Ovis aries: one gene and its partners. The protein of the gene in region 3 interacts with the protein of the main gene of each other region in a pairwise test. Links are inferred from orthologs where the notes say so. Each region holds a gene or a part of one and is shown on either strand. Other genes may lie near its edges. The genes, in order: AP1S2, UBL7 and AP1G1.

What was found.
Region 1: the proteins of AP1G1 (region 3) and AP1S2 interact in binary tests that used the Homo sapiens proteins (3 or more experiments, as listed by UniProt). The link is inferred for Ovis aries from reciprocal best matches to the Homo sapiens genes AP1G1 and AP1S2.
Region 2: the proteins of AP1G1 (region 3) and UBL7 interact in binary tests that used the Homo sapiens proteins (3 or more experiments, as listed by UniProt). The two-hybrid records come from large-scale screens. The link is inferred for Ovis aries from reciprocal best matches to the Homo sapiens genes AP1G1 and UBL7.

The regions. Positions count from the first base shown.
Region 1 is NC_056080.1:14,009,331-14,013,675, forward strand, and holds the start of AP1S2 (AP-1 complex subunit sigma-2), read right to left. Parts: upstream 2,899-4,345; 5' UTR 2,777-2,898; intron 648-2,776; coding exon 469-647; intron 1-468. UniProt on the Homo sapiens protein: Subunit of clathrin-associated adaptor protein complex 1 that plays a role in protein sorting in the late-Golgi/trans-Golgi network (TGN) and/or endosomes.
Region 2 is NC_056071.1:31,867,842-31,872,124, reverse strand, and holds the start of UBL7 (ubiquitin-like protein 7), read right to left. Parts: upstream 2,827-4,283; 5' UTR 2,789-2,826; exon of another isoform or gene 2,739-2,788; intron 1,446-2,738; 5' UTR 1,417-1,445; coding exon 1,233-1,416; intron 1-1,232.
Region 3 is NC_056067.1:38,857,644-38,861,256, forward strand, and holds part of AP1G1 (AP-1 complex subunit gamma-1), read left to right. Parts: intron 1-147; coding exon 148-237; intron 238-529; coding exon 530-657; intron 658-1,477; coding exon 1,478-1,582; intron 1,583-2,209; coding exon 2,210-2,351; intron 2,352-2,535; coding exon 2,536-2,662; intron 2,663-3,613. UniProt on the Homo sapiens protein: Subunit of clathrin-associated adaptor protein complex 1 that plays a role in protein sorting in the late-Golgi/trans-Golgi network (TGN) and/or endosomes.

The DNA of each region.
Region 1 (4,345 bases), on a different chromosome or scaffold from region 3:
TGACTAAAACAGTGTACATATCCAAGGAGTTTATACATGAATAAGAGATTCTGAAAGTCAGATTAAAAGGCATATCGAATACCAGTCATTACGGATTTGCGGGGAGAAAGGAGGGGGAGGTAAATGCTTATCTAAATTCAGAAAATTACTCACACAATTTAAAATACTGACTTTATTTTCCCCTGCAAAGAAATGAATTCTTTCAGTTTTCCTAAAAAGATGATTAAGCATGAAGTATCATTTATGCCTTTAGTTACATAATTTCGTTTAAAAAGAGTCCCATGATTTTATCATTTCACCAAAACAGTAGTTATCTTAAAAGTACAAAGCTTTACCTTAAGACTATTTCATTTATATCTTTAGTAATCTTTATTTATAAATGTAATCTCTTGAAAGTCTGCAATTTCCACATTATAAATGATCTAATAACTGATTCTATTTCATCCTTCTAATAAATAAAAATTATACCTTTTGTAAACAATCTTCAGATCTCGCCATTCAAGAAAGCTGCACATTTTAGGTTTCCGTGCTAAAACGGTTTGAACAAGTTCTCTTGTGATCTTTTTCTTCTCTTTGTCTGATAATGGGACATACCATTTCTGCAGTCGAAGCTTTCCCTGACGACTAAAAAGCAACATAAACTGCATCTGTTAAGATAAACAGAACCAAGATTACAGGCAATACTTTGATTCAATAAAGTTAAGATTAAGATGACACGTGGCAAAGAGAAGCTTTGAGGGACAGGGCGTTTAGCCAACAAATGATGAGTAGCCATCAATATTTCTATGCTAGTTAAAATAGCAGGAAATTCTTGTAGAAAGATCTTTCCACCAGATGCAAATCCTCCCACCTCACCCTGTTCCATTTAAGTTTGGAGGAGAGGGGGAGGACAAAAACAGGTGAGGTGAAAATTCTGATGAAAAAGAAAGATAATTCTTGCAATTTAAGAAACTATTGTGTATGTGTGCTATAGGAATGTATATGGATCAAAAGAGAACTGTTGACATCAACTGGTTTAGATGCATTTGAAATAAACAGACCTACTATTTTCCACCCTACACAGAATAAGCTGTTCTAGAGCCAAACTGAATTACTTGTAGACAGACTGCTATAACTTGAAATGCTGTCTTCAGTTTATGTTTACATATTTTAAGCAAAACAAAAGAACTAAAATATAAACCAAAAAAATCCCATAAACACATTTTTCTTAATAAAAGCCTGATTAAAAAAATTCGCATCTCATTTTAAAAATTCCAACATAAATATACACACAATAAAGTGAGTTAATATAGTTTTACGGAAGAGAATATAAACCTTTAAAAAGCCAAACTAAGAGCTACACACATTCAGACATTACACGAAATACTTCATTTAAAACGATTTAAAAACATAGCATCTACAGATGGAGTGGATGCTGAATTCTAGTGTATTTCACACAAACTATTTTGTATACATTTATTTAGAATCTGCAAATGATGATTAGTCTACATGTTTTAATTTTTAAGGAAACCTTCTTGTAATTCAGTCTCCCCAACTGCAAACAGAAAGCATTGTTTCTACAAAGGTAATTTAAAGGTAGAAATTAGATATTTTCTTTTCTTTTAATTATTCTAAGTTTCAGTACTAGTTTCTGCAAGTAGGATTCAGCCTGACTCTTGGTATTAACCACACCATACTGAATTTGAACATGGGGTGGGGGAATTTACACCATCCATCTGAATAAAATGGGCGCTAAATTTCACCAAGAAATCATTGCCGCTTTTTGTAATAATCCAAACGGGCATCAATAAGGTATTTAGAAATTTACGATGCGACAATTTAACTTAAATAAAGTTGAAACTGGCTGTTAACATCACACTTAAAACGCATCACTGGCACGAAATAAACGAACAACACTGGTGATGTCAAAGTGCCTCATACAGAAGTCCTGTTAAGACAGCGACATTAGAAAGGGACAGCAAGTAACGCATCAACTGGACAATGTTTCACGCAAACCCGTTAGCAGAACTTGGAAAAGAACAGACCCGTATTCCAGGATCTTGGAGACCAGGAGGACTGGGGGTTTGCTTTTGAAACTCTAGGACTCAAGGGAGTCTATAGCAAGGTCCTCCATCTCTCCCCACCATCACTTTATATGACGAATAAATAATTTATGCTCTTTAAAATAAATTATATGTTAACATAGGATGATGCCTGGTCGCAAGGCACAAGTATTCCTTCCCTCTAGTTAAAAACCAACGCTCCGATTTTGCTTCAAATCACAAGGCGCCTCAATTCCTGGAGATTGGTATTAAAAACAATGGGCTCGGCCGCGGAGCGGGCTCGGGGCCAGGGGCCGTTGCCTGCCCGCCGCCCCACGGGGCCGCACTCCATCACTGACCGATCGAGCCCGGGCGAGGTGACAAGCAAGGAGCGGGGAAGACAATGGCAACCGCCGCCGCGCAGGGGGCGCCAAGAGTCCTCCGTCTCCGCCGCCCCCGGCCGCCGACCCCGCCCGCAAATGCCCCGCAAAACTTGAGGCGATTCCCAAACCACAGGTGCCGCGGACCCGCTGCAGCGTCCGAAACTGGCCCCCGCAGCCCGGGACGCGGCGCCGAGTGGAGAGGGGCGCGGAAGCAAAGAGAAGTGAGTTTCGGGGCGCGGTGCCCCAGTAGCGGGCCGGGCGGGCGGGCGCGGGGTGGGGTCGTCCAGGCGCTCGTTGGGCGGCGGGGGGCTCGCCCGACCCTCCCTCCCCACTCCCCGACCCCGGTGTCCCCGCTCGCCTCCCGGGACTTACGGCGGCCGCGGGCCGCGACTGCGGCGGGGCTCGGCCGGCGGCGGCGGCGGCGGCAGCGTCGGCGGCGGCGACTAAGGGGAAGCCCCTGTCGCTGAGCTGAGGAAGAGAAGCCGTTTTGCTGTGGGGAGGGGACCCGGTTCGCGGAGGGAAGGCTTAGGCTGAGAGGGGAGGGCGAGCCGACAGACCCCGCCCCGGGGGCCGGACGAGGGAGGAGCCGGGGCTGCGGCGAGCAGAGGGGCGGGCTGGGCGGTGCGCTGGCTGCAGCTCGGCTGTTGCCAACGGCTCCGAAGGCAGCTCAGGTGACCGCGAAGTCCGAGGAATCTGATTGGCCGCGTCTCTACCGAGAGGGAGGTCCGGACCGGAAGCCAGGCCACGTGACCCGGAAGCGGCTGTTGCCAGGGCTGGCGCGCCTGCGCTCTCCTGAGTGCGCTTCTCTGACGCGCGCGGCTGTCGGGTCTATTTTGTGGAGAGAAGACAGTGTTTCACTGTGCCGTTTATTGACCGTACTAAGCTGGGCAGGGAAGGTCCGTACTTCCAAGAACCGCATTCGAGCTCCGACAACTCTCGGTGCCCCGAGAGGGTGGGACGGGGCCGTTTAATGGCCGGTACTGTTGGTGAGGGGAGAGAGGGAGTGCTGCAACTCGGAAGAAAACAAAGCTCTTTCGTGGAGCTCGTGCCCGCGTTTAGAGGGCTTTTTTGCAATTACTTTGCCTCAAAACCACCCGGAATCCGGCCCTTCCCATCGCAGTGCTGCAGTCCTAGACACCTTTTCGCCCCAAACTGCAACTGTCTCTTGCCGGGGCTTGCCTCGCTCATCCTCAGTGCTGCGAACCTGAGGAGTTACTGTCCGTTCCCTGCTGAAAAGCCCGACCGGCACCTCTTCTAGATTCCGCTTCTTTCACCCTCACCTCCCCCACAGCCGCTTGGGTTCCAGTTTAGTCTTGCCGACGACTTTCTCTGCCTGGCATGCCCTTGCTCTCAAATGTCACAGCTCCTATGAAGCCTCACTCACCCATATACCCATTAGCACATCTTGAGTTTTATTCATTTTACATCCCAGCCTAGTTCTCTGCCTGGTATGTAACACCTCTAATAAATGTGAGTTGACTGATAAGGACTCTAAAACGGTAGATTTGTTTGTTAAGAGCCATGGTGCTGAGCATTGTGTCTGGCACATAATGGATGTCCATTTTTTTCGATTGAGAGAGTGGTTGAATCATCCAGTCCGACTCATCTTTTACAGATGAGTAAAGGGGAGCCCCACGGGATTAAGTGACCTTGCTTGAGCAGCCACGGGTTTCTTATGTCGAACGCTATTCATTATCCCAGTCACCGGTTCTTACAAAGGAAATTTAGAATATTGCTTTTGTTAAGCTATGGCCTTTTTGCAGAGGCACCCAAACATAGTCGCCAGAATTTTTTAATGGCCCAAAGGGAAAGTTTTCTAGGAAGCGAAGTTTAATCAATCTAAAGGAATCCTTTATTAGGGATTGTGTTCTTTTCACGTGTGTTAAAATGTCTGTAAAACTAAGTACATAATAGGGATTTGGGGGCATTTTTTAATGCCCT
Region 2 (4,283 bases), on a different chromosome or scaffold from region 3:
ACTAGTGGTAAAGAACCCACCTGCCAGTGCAGAAGACTTAAGAGACATGAGTTTGATCCCTGGATTAAGAAGAGCCTCTGGAGGAAGACACAGAAACCCACTCCAGCTGGGCTGGAGAATCCCATGGACAGAGGAGCCTGGTGAGCTACAGTCCATGGGGTTGCAAAGAGTTGGACACAACTGAAGAGACTTCGCATGCATGACTGAAAATATACTTTTTGCCAGTTTATACCACTTTTCTAGTTTATATGCTATTGCATTAATAATACAATTTAATTATATTCTCTTTCTGAAAGTGATGCTGGAGTCCAGGGTTTGATCCCTGGTCAGGCAACAAAGATTCTGCACACCACACAGCATAGTCAAAAATAAAAAGAGAAAGAAATAATTTATATTTAAATTCCTTCTTCCTCCACCTAGAATGCCCTTGCCATCTCTCCTTTTTGGTGGGTCAGACGGTAAACTGTCTTGCTTACAATGCGGGAGACCTGGGTTCGATCCTTGCGTTGGGAAGATCCTCTGAAGAAGGAAATGGCAACCCACTCCAATACTCTTGCCTGGAAAATCCCATGGACAGAGGAGCATGGTGGCCTACAGTCCACGGGGTTGCAAAGAGTCAGACACCACTGAGCGACTTCACTTTCACTTTCCCTCTAACCAACCAACCAACCAACCAACAATCCTTCTAACCATCCCTTAAGACTTACCTCAAATGCCATATACTAAGGGCCTTTCCCTAGCCAGCACCTCCTTCCAACCCAAGTTCTTGCTCTTTCAAAGAATGTCATAGTTAAGGAATGTCGTGATGAAGTATTTCAGTATATTGTACAGCTAAAATGGCAACCAACAGTTTTATTATATGATTTGTTTCTATTCACCTAACAACAATCACTTCCCAGCTTAACATTTGTTTTCGTTTACTCTCTAAGTCAGACTCTTTCGCGACCCCATGGATTGTAGCCCATCAGGCTCCTCCTCCCATGGCATCTCCCAGGCAAGGATACTGGATTGGGTTGCCATTTCGTTCTTCAGGGGATCTTCGCCACCCAGGGACTGAACCCACATCTCCTGGATAGGTAGGCAGATTCTTTACCACTGATCCACCAGGGCAGCCCAGTGTTTACATTATGAGACAACAAATCCCAAACTCTTAATTTACACTTGTGATTCCAGAATGATTCTCCCCCAAAAGAATCAGAGCAGAAGCCCATCCCGAGTACACAGAGACTCACCAATCAGCTCAGGGTCTGGAACAGACTCCTGGAGTTTGCCAGCAATAAGCTGCTTCAGAAATGAAATACTATATCCCCCCAGGGAGTATTCTCCGAGCTCTGTCTCTGGCAACCGAAGAATAGATTTGGGGGCAAGTGGCTGGTCAGCCAGCTTCACCGCCAGGTGCCAATCTGAGAGAGACATCCTCTCTCTTTCGCGCTCTCTCTTTCTCCCTGTAAAGGAACAAAGCCTTAGTGGTTAGACAGACCTACACCACCCCCACCCCACCAAGGGGTTGAATGAGAATTCTCTGTGACTCTGTTGGAAAAGCTCAGGCTGCAGCATCAGGAGGCCTGAACTAGAATCTGAGGTCCTCTTTTCACTCATTCTATGGCAGCAGGAAACTTCAGCTCTCTAAGCCTCTTTGGCTTTACAGTGGACATAAAAATGCCATCCCACCTAACAGGAGCGTTGTGAAGTTCAAATGAGATCATCCAACCCTCTCCCTTACATTACACACACTCCATGTTTCTTCATCAACTTTTGTTTTAACCACCACAACAGCTTTACCAGAAGCTCCCTGCCTCCTGCTTCTCCCTGTTAAACATCCATGCTGCCACTCATCATTTTAAAATGCAGATCTGATCAATATACTCCTCTGTTTAGAATTCAAATCACTTCTATGAATAAGTCTAAACACCACAGCCTGGCTTTTAAAAACATCCACATCTGTTCTCTCTACCAGCCTTCCCCTCTCAAGAGCTCTGGACTGCCCCACCCTTCCCAACACTTAAGTCCACCCCCACCAAGCATGAATTCAAAACAAAGCTCTCCCCCACTCCGCTCATCTAACTCTGCATATAACTCCTCTTCCCTCTTCCCTCTCTAATCAAACTCCGATCAAGAGCAACTCAAACACAACCTCCTCTATTCTCTCTCTCTTTCCCCCCTCTGTTGTTGTCACATTCCCTCATGACAAAGGGTTACAAATACCTATACTATTTACTTCTCAGTCGTCTCTGCATCTCATTCTTAGAGGCTCTTGAAAGCAAAGACTAGAATTTTGTCTTTATTGACTCAATGCCCGGTATTTATGGGTATCCAGAAAATGAATCAGAAACCCGGCGGTTGGGAGAAATAAGACAAGACAAGCCCTTGTTAGAATTATTATTGCTTCCAAAGTGGCTTCTTTGGAAGAGGAAAGAAAAGGTTTCGAGGCTGTGCAGCAGATCCTAAGGCACCCTCAAATTTCCATCTCCAGGTTGATGGCGGGGAAGAAAATGGATCTTTTAATATACTATGTATCATTTAATCCTCACAACTGTTCTGAGACAGGCATTTTCATCTACATATTACAGCCGAAGGAACCGAGATCTAGAAAAGTGAAGTCTGCGGCCCAAGGTCACTGATAGTTAATATTGCGACAGGGACACTATCTCTTTGGTGACGACCCCTCCACTCCCACAGAACCAGCTATCTAGTCACCACAGGTCGATCCCGCGCGGCCCGGGACCCAGCGCCCTCACCCGTCCCGCGGAAGGAACCCGGCCGCAGGGCCGCCGGTGTAAACACTCACTCAGGTCCTCTCGCCGGAAACCGGAAGCTCCGCGCTGCATTCTGGGAGTTGCAGTTCCTGAGGCGGCGCCCCACCACCCCGCCCCACCCCCGCCCCTTTATAAACAGCCGGCCGGCAAGGGGGAGCTAGTTGTAAAGCTTCCGGTTTCCGGGGGTGTGGCTCCTCTGCAGTTTGAAAGTCCGGGCGCGAGGGTGTCTTCGAGCTTGCGCGTGAGGGTCTTAGGTATCAGTCAGTCTTCCAAGACACAGGTTACGGGAACGAGGTCTGGCGTGAGGTTTGCATGCGCGCGTGCTAAGTCGCTTCTGTCCTGTCCGACTCTTTGCGACCCCACGCACTGCAGCCCGCCAGACCCCTCTGTCCGTGAAATTCTCCAGGCAAGAATACTGGAGTGGGTTGCCACGCCCTCCTCTAGGGGATCTTCCTGACCCAGGGATCGAACCGGCGTATCTTTTGTCTCCTGCATTGACAGGTGGGTTCCAGGTGTGATGTTTACAGCCCCACGATTCCTTCAATGTCCTGGTTCGCATACAGAGTCCGCAGGTTACGCCAGGTCCGTCCAGCGCTGCAGATGGGAACGCCGGTTTCCGGACTCTCGGCCCTGGGTCTCCTGCTTCGACCCGTCGTCGCTCGGCAAGGACCCTTTCCGGAGCGGCCTCTTCAGACTCCCTGTTGAATATCCTTGTTCAGACTCGCCCCAGCCTTGTCATCTTCACTAGGAAACGGCCTGTCTTTGAGTGAAGTCAGCTTCCTTTGTGCTCCTCGCTTCTGGCTTTTCGTGGCGAACATGCCTGTGAAGGCATACTAGGAACCCAACGATGAGTTCCCCTAAAAGTTGGTACCTTGAGAGAAGTTACCAAGGGTTCCTGGTACGCCCCAACGTGCAGTAGTGGGGTTTATATCAGTCATTCATAGAATTAGTTCGGGAAGGGGAATTTCACTGAACTCTCAGAGAAACTGCATACCGTCGTCCATGGTATCCACAGGAGATTGCTTTCAGGAGCCCCTCGTGGATACCAAAATACGCGAATACTTAAATCCCGTGCGTAAAACTGGTATTGTACAGTCGAGTGCATTTTAGATGCATAGTTATAGATTTTTTTGCCCAGAGATTAGAATTAGATAAACTATTCTGTTCGAACTCTCCTGGAGGAACTCATTCAAAGACTAAAGAAAGCCAAAAAAACAAAAACAAAAAAAACAGGTAAATATATAAGAAAATAATGAGGTGATCCTCGCAACTAAAGACTGATTGGGTGTGCACAAACGTAAAAGCAGGACTGCAACATTCCAGTGTATGGACTGAAACTAAAGCAACAACTGAGCAGGATAGCTTGACTATGTAGAGCAGATAAACTTCAGGTTCTGGGAGGGCCTAGCACTGGAGCTAATTACTACTCTATTCTTCAGTAAACTGAAAAATTAAAGCAATGGGAATATCAGACCACCTTACCTGCCTCCTGAAAAATCTGTATGCAGGTCAAGAAGAAACAGTTAG
Region 3 (3,613 bases):
AATTGCCATTATTTTTCTGATATGTTCTTATTACTGTCACTCTAGAGGTGCCTCAGTTGTGACCTTTATGGTTGGATGACCTATATGATTTGTATTAATCCTTTAAAGGATAAAAATCTTTTTCAAACTGTGACTCTCTTTTGACAGCAACCTTTGGTGCAAGTGGCTGCATGGTGTATAGGTGAATATGGAGATCTTCTTGTATCTGGCCAATGTGAAGAGGAAGAGCCTATTCAGGTACCCTTTGTCACTCTTGGTTAAGAAAAGGGAAGACAGTGTTTTTGTTTTAAGAGTAGTGTTTAATGCTTTGAAGTCGATTCCTTGAAAACCTTTTAAAGACGCAAGGGTGGAATCATAGATTCATTGGAAAGCTTGCTCAGTTTTCAGTTGGAACCTACTGGGCCATTGTGAGATTTGAAACTCACCTTTAGGTCCCTCTCCCCACCCCATCATAGTGACTTACATTGTTTCTCTTACCTTCTGGCTGAGGAGAAGTGAGAGTGTCATGTTTCCATTTTTTTCTCCCCAGGTAACAGAGGATGAAGTGTTGGATATTTTAGAAAGTGTCCTAATATCTAATATGTCCACCTCTGTGACACGAGGTTATGCCCTCACTGCTATTATGAAGCTTTCTACTCGATTCACCTGTACTGTAAAGTGAGTATGGAGAAAAAGGGTGAATGCGATATATTTTTTAAAAACTTTTATTTTGGGAAACTTCAAGCAAAGGCAAAAGTAGAATAGTAAAATCAACTGCCTATACCTCTTACTCCTCAGTAACAGTCATCACTTCATGGTTAATCCTTATTAGATCTATACTTTGCTCCCTGTCATCCCTTCATCCCACCACTGCTTAATTTGAAGGTAAAAACTAATGTTTTTAAAATCAGGTATCTGATGTCTGTTTATTTTTTTAAAGTACTGAAGTTATTTTCCCATGTAAAGGTTCTGGTTTATTATAATTTGAGATATCTGAATTGGAAGAAAATCATTTTGGTGTTTAAATCTTTAAATTTTGCTTTTTTAAAAAAAGCCACTGTTTTGAATAGAACTCAATTCTTGGGTCAGTTTCCCAGTCAAGCATATTTAATATAAACTTAGTTCTCTCAGATGTTTTGCTTTTGTTTTTAATGTAAAGCCTCATGAAGAATGATATTTTTTACTGTTTAAATTGTGAAGTATAAGAATTTGGTATTAGGCAGTGACACTTTGCTTATAAAAGTCTGATGCTATGACCCTTTTGTTGATAAAAGCTTACTACTGTAAAGTTATTAAAGAAGGGAATGAATACTATAAATTTGTTATTTTATAGCAAATTAATAATTGGTACTTTTGTTTATCAAATTTTAGGGTATGAGATATTAAGATGAACATTTCAAAATTTTAACCAGAAACCTCTGTTTTAAACACTGTTCTTTCTGCTTGTTTATGAATTTTCTTTTGGATGTTTGAATTTGTTTGTCGTTTTATCCCAAAGCCGAATTAAGAAAGTGGTTTCCATCTATGGAAGCAGCATTGATGTGGAACTCCAGCAGAGGGCAGTAGAATATAATGCACTTTTTAAGAAATACGACCATATGAGGTAAGTGAAAGAAACCGAACAATGCATGTGCCTCTTAGCATCCCAAACACTTTCTCATGATAACCCGTAAAGGAGTTTCACCCCTCATGCTTTATTGGTGGGACATCACAACCCCGTTCAGTTCTTGCGGCTTGGCTACTTGTGTTTTGTTCGTCTTCTGTTCTGCCTAGCCTCTAAAGAAATAAGTGAACCGTGTTCTTTTAGTCCCCTTTTCCCCTTTCTCTTGGTAAGGAAAGTTTTCTTCATTTCCATTTTATTTGGTGAAGAAGTGAGAGTTGTTTCATCTCAGGAGAATCTCATTGAGATATCATTACTATTACCATTGTGAACTGCTAATATGTACTTGTTTATCTTTCTTTCATTCCAATTTCTCTGTCACTTATAATTCTCAGGCTCTTGGGATTTAGATGGACAGTTTGTCCATTCAAGGTTTCCTGCCTGCCCTTAATCCAGTCAGGAATGTAGGTCACGTATTCTTGTAATCCAGCTTCTATTTTAGTATATGTGTTGGGATGTGGGGAGGGGAGAGGTCTCTCCACATTTGGCTGGAGTACAGTTAACAGTGATTGTTTTGGGTAGGGAATCTAGGTTAACTGCCTAGAATTTAACCACTTCAGATTCTTCCAGGTCTGCCCTTCTTGAGAGAATGCCTGTCATGGAGAAAGTGACCACAAATGGCCCTACTGAGATTGTACAGACAAACGGAGAGACAGACCCAACTCCTCTAGAGACAAAGCCACCGCCCTCGGGGCCACAGCCCACCAGCCAGGTAGCTTTTCCCTTGCTTATCCTCATGATCTTCTGGTTCCTTAGACCCTATTTCTTAGGTGATTCCCTTCAGTGTTCCTGGGTTGATTGATAATTCTGTTCCCTGTTTTTAAGTATTGAAGGGGCTTTGTGTTAGATAACAGATTAGACAGTGACAATGAATAAGATATTATTTTCTTGTTTAGGCCAATGATTTATTGGATTTGTTGGGAGGAAATGACATAACACCTGTTATTCCAACTGCACCTACAAGCAAACCAGCTTCTGCTGGTGGAGAGCTTCTTGATTTGCTGGGAGACATCAACCTTACAGGTGAGGCCAGACTAGAGTTAATTTCATGCTTGGCCAGGGATAAGGGCCTTAGGGAAAAACTACACTGAATGTAGACTTTCTGTCTAGCACATGAGACAGTTGAAGAATGGAGAGGGTAAGTGACAAAAAACAAGAATCTTCACAACTTCTGGCCTATGTTGCCATACTAATACTCTAGAGGTAATTCATAGAGATTCCTCAAAGTCTAATTTTTAATTTTTGGAGAGTAAATTACTCAGTGTTTTAAGACAGAACAGTCTCAGGCTAGAAAAGAAGCACATCCCAAGAAATACATGACTTTTTCTAGGTTTCTTTCTACTCATGGTTAGTTTCCAAGAGCTGTGGCCTTCTGTGGAGAGTGGAAAGATGTTAACCTGTTTTCCTCTTTCCTTCTCGCCCTTTCTTTCTCCTTCGTGTTAAAGCAATGGAAGGATAAAATTATCCAGGGTTATAATATTCAAACATAACTTTTCATTTGGGGATATCTTATTTTTATTGACATGTAGTAGAAATTTATAATTAGTGTGTCTGCAGATACTGTAAACACAAGAGGTCAAGAGAATATCACTGTAGCATATAATTTCTATCTTAAGTGACTTCTCTAAAAGTAAAATGGAGAGTTACAGCATACATGACCTTGAGTGGAAAACGGCCATAGGTTAAGGATGTTGGATGCTAATCTAGACAGGCTATCACAGACTTAAAGGTTTTTTCCTAACATAACTGCCTCCCAGAACTTATGGTTTATATTTATGTCTTAACAAAATTTCAAAATATTGCTTGTCATTGCTTAGGGCCATTCACAGTCAGTTTCAGATCCCGGGATGCCAAAGCTGTCCTGAACATACGGAAAAACAGGAACAACCCCATTTGAAACATAGTGTTTGGGGACCTTCCTGGCAGTCCAGTGGTTAGGACTCTTGTGCTTTCACTGCCATGTGCCCAGGTTCA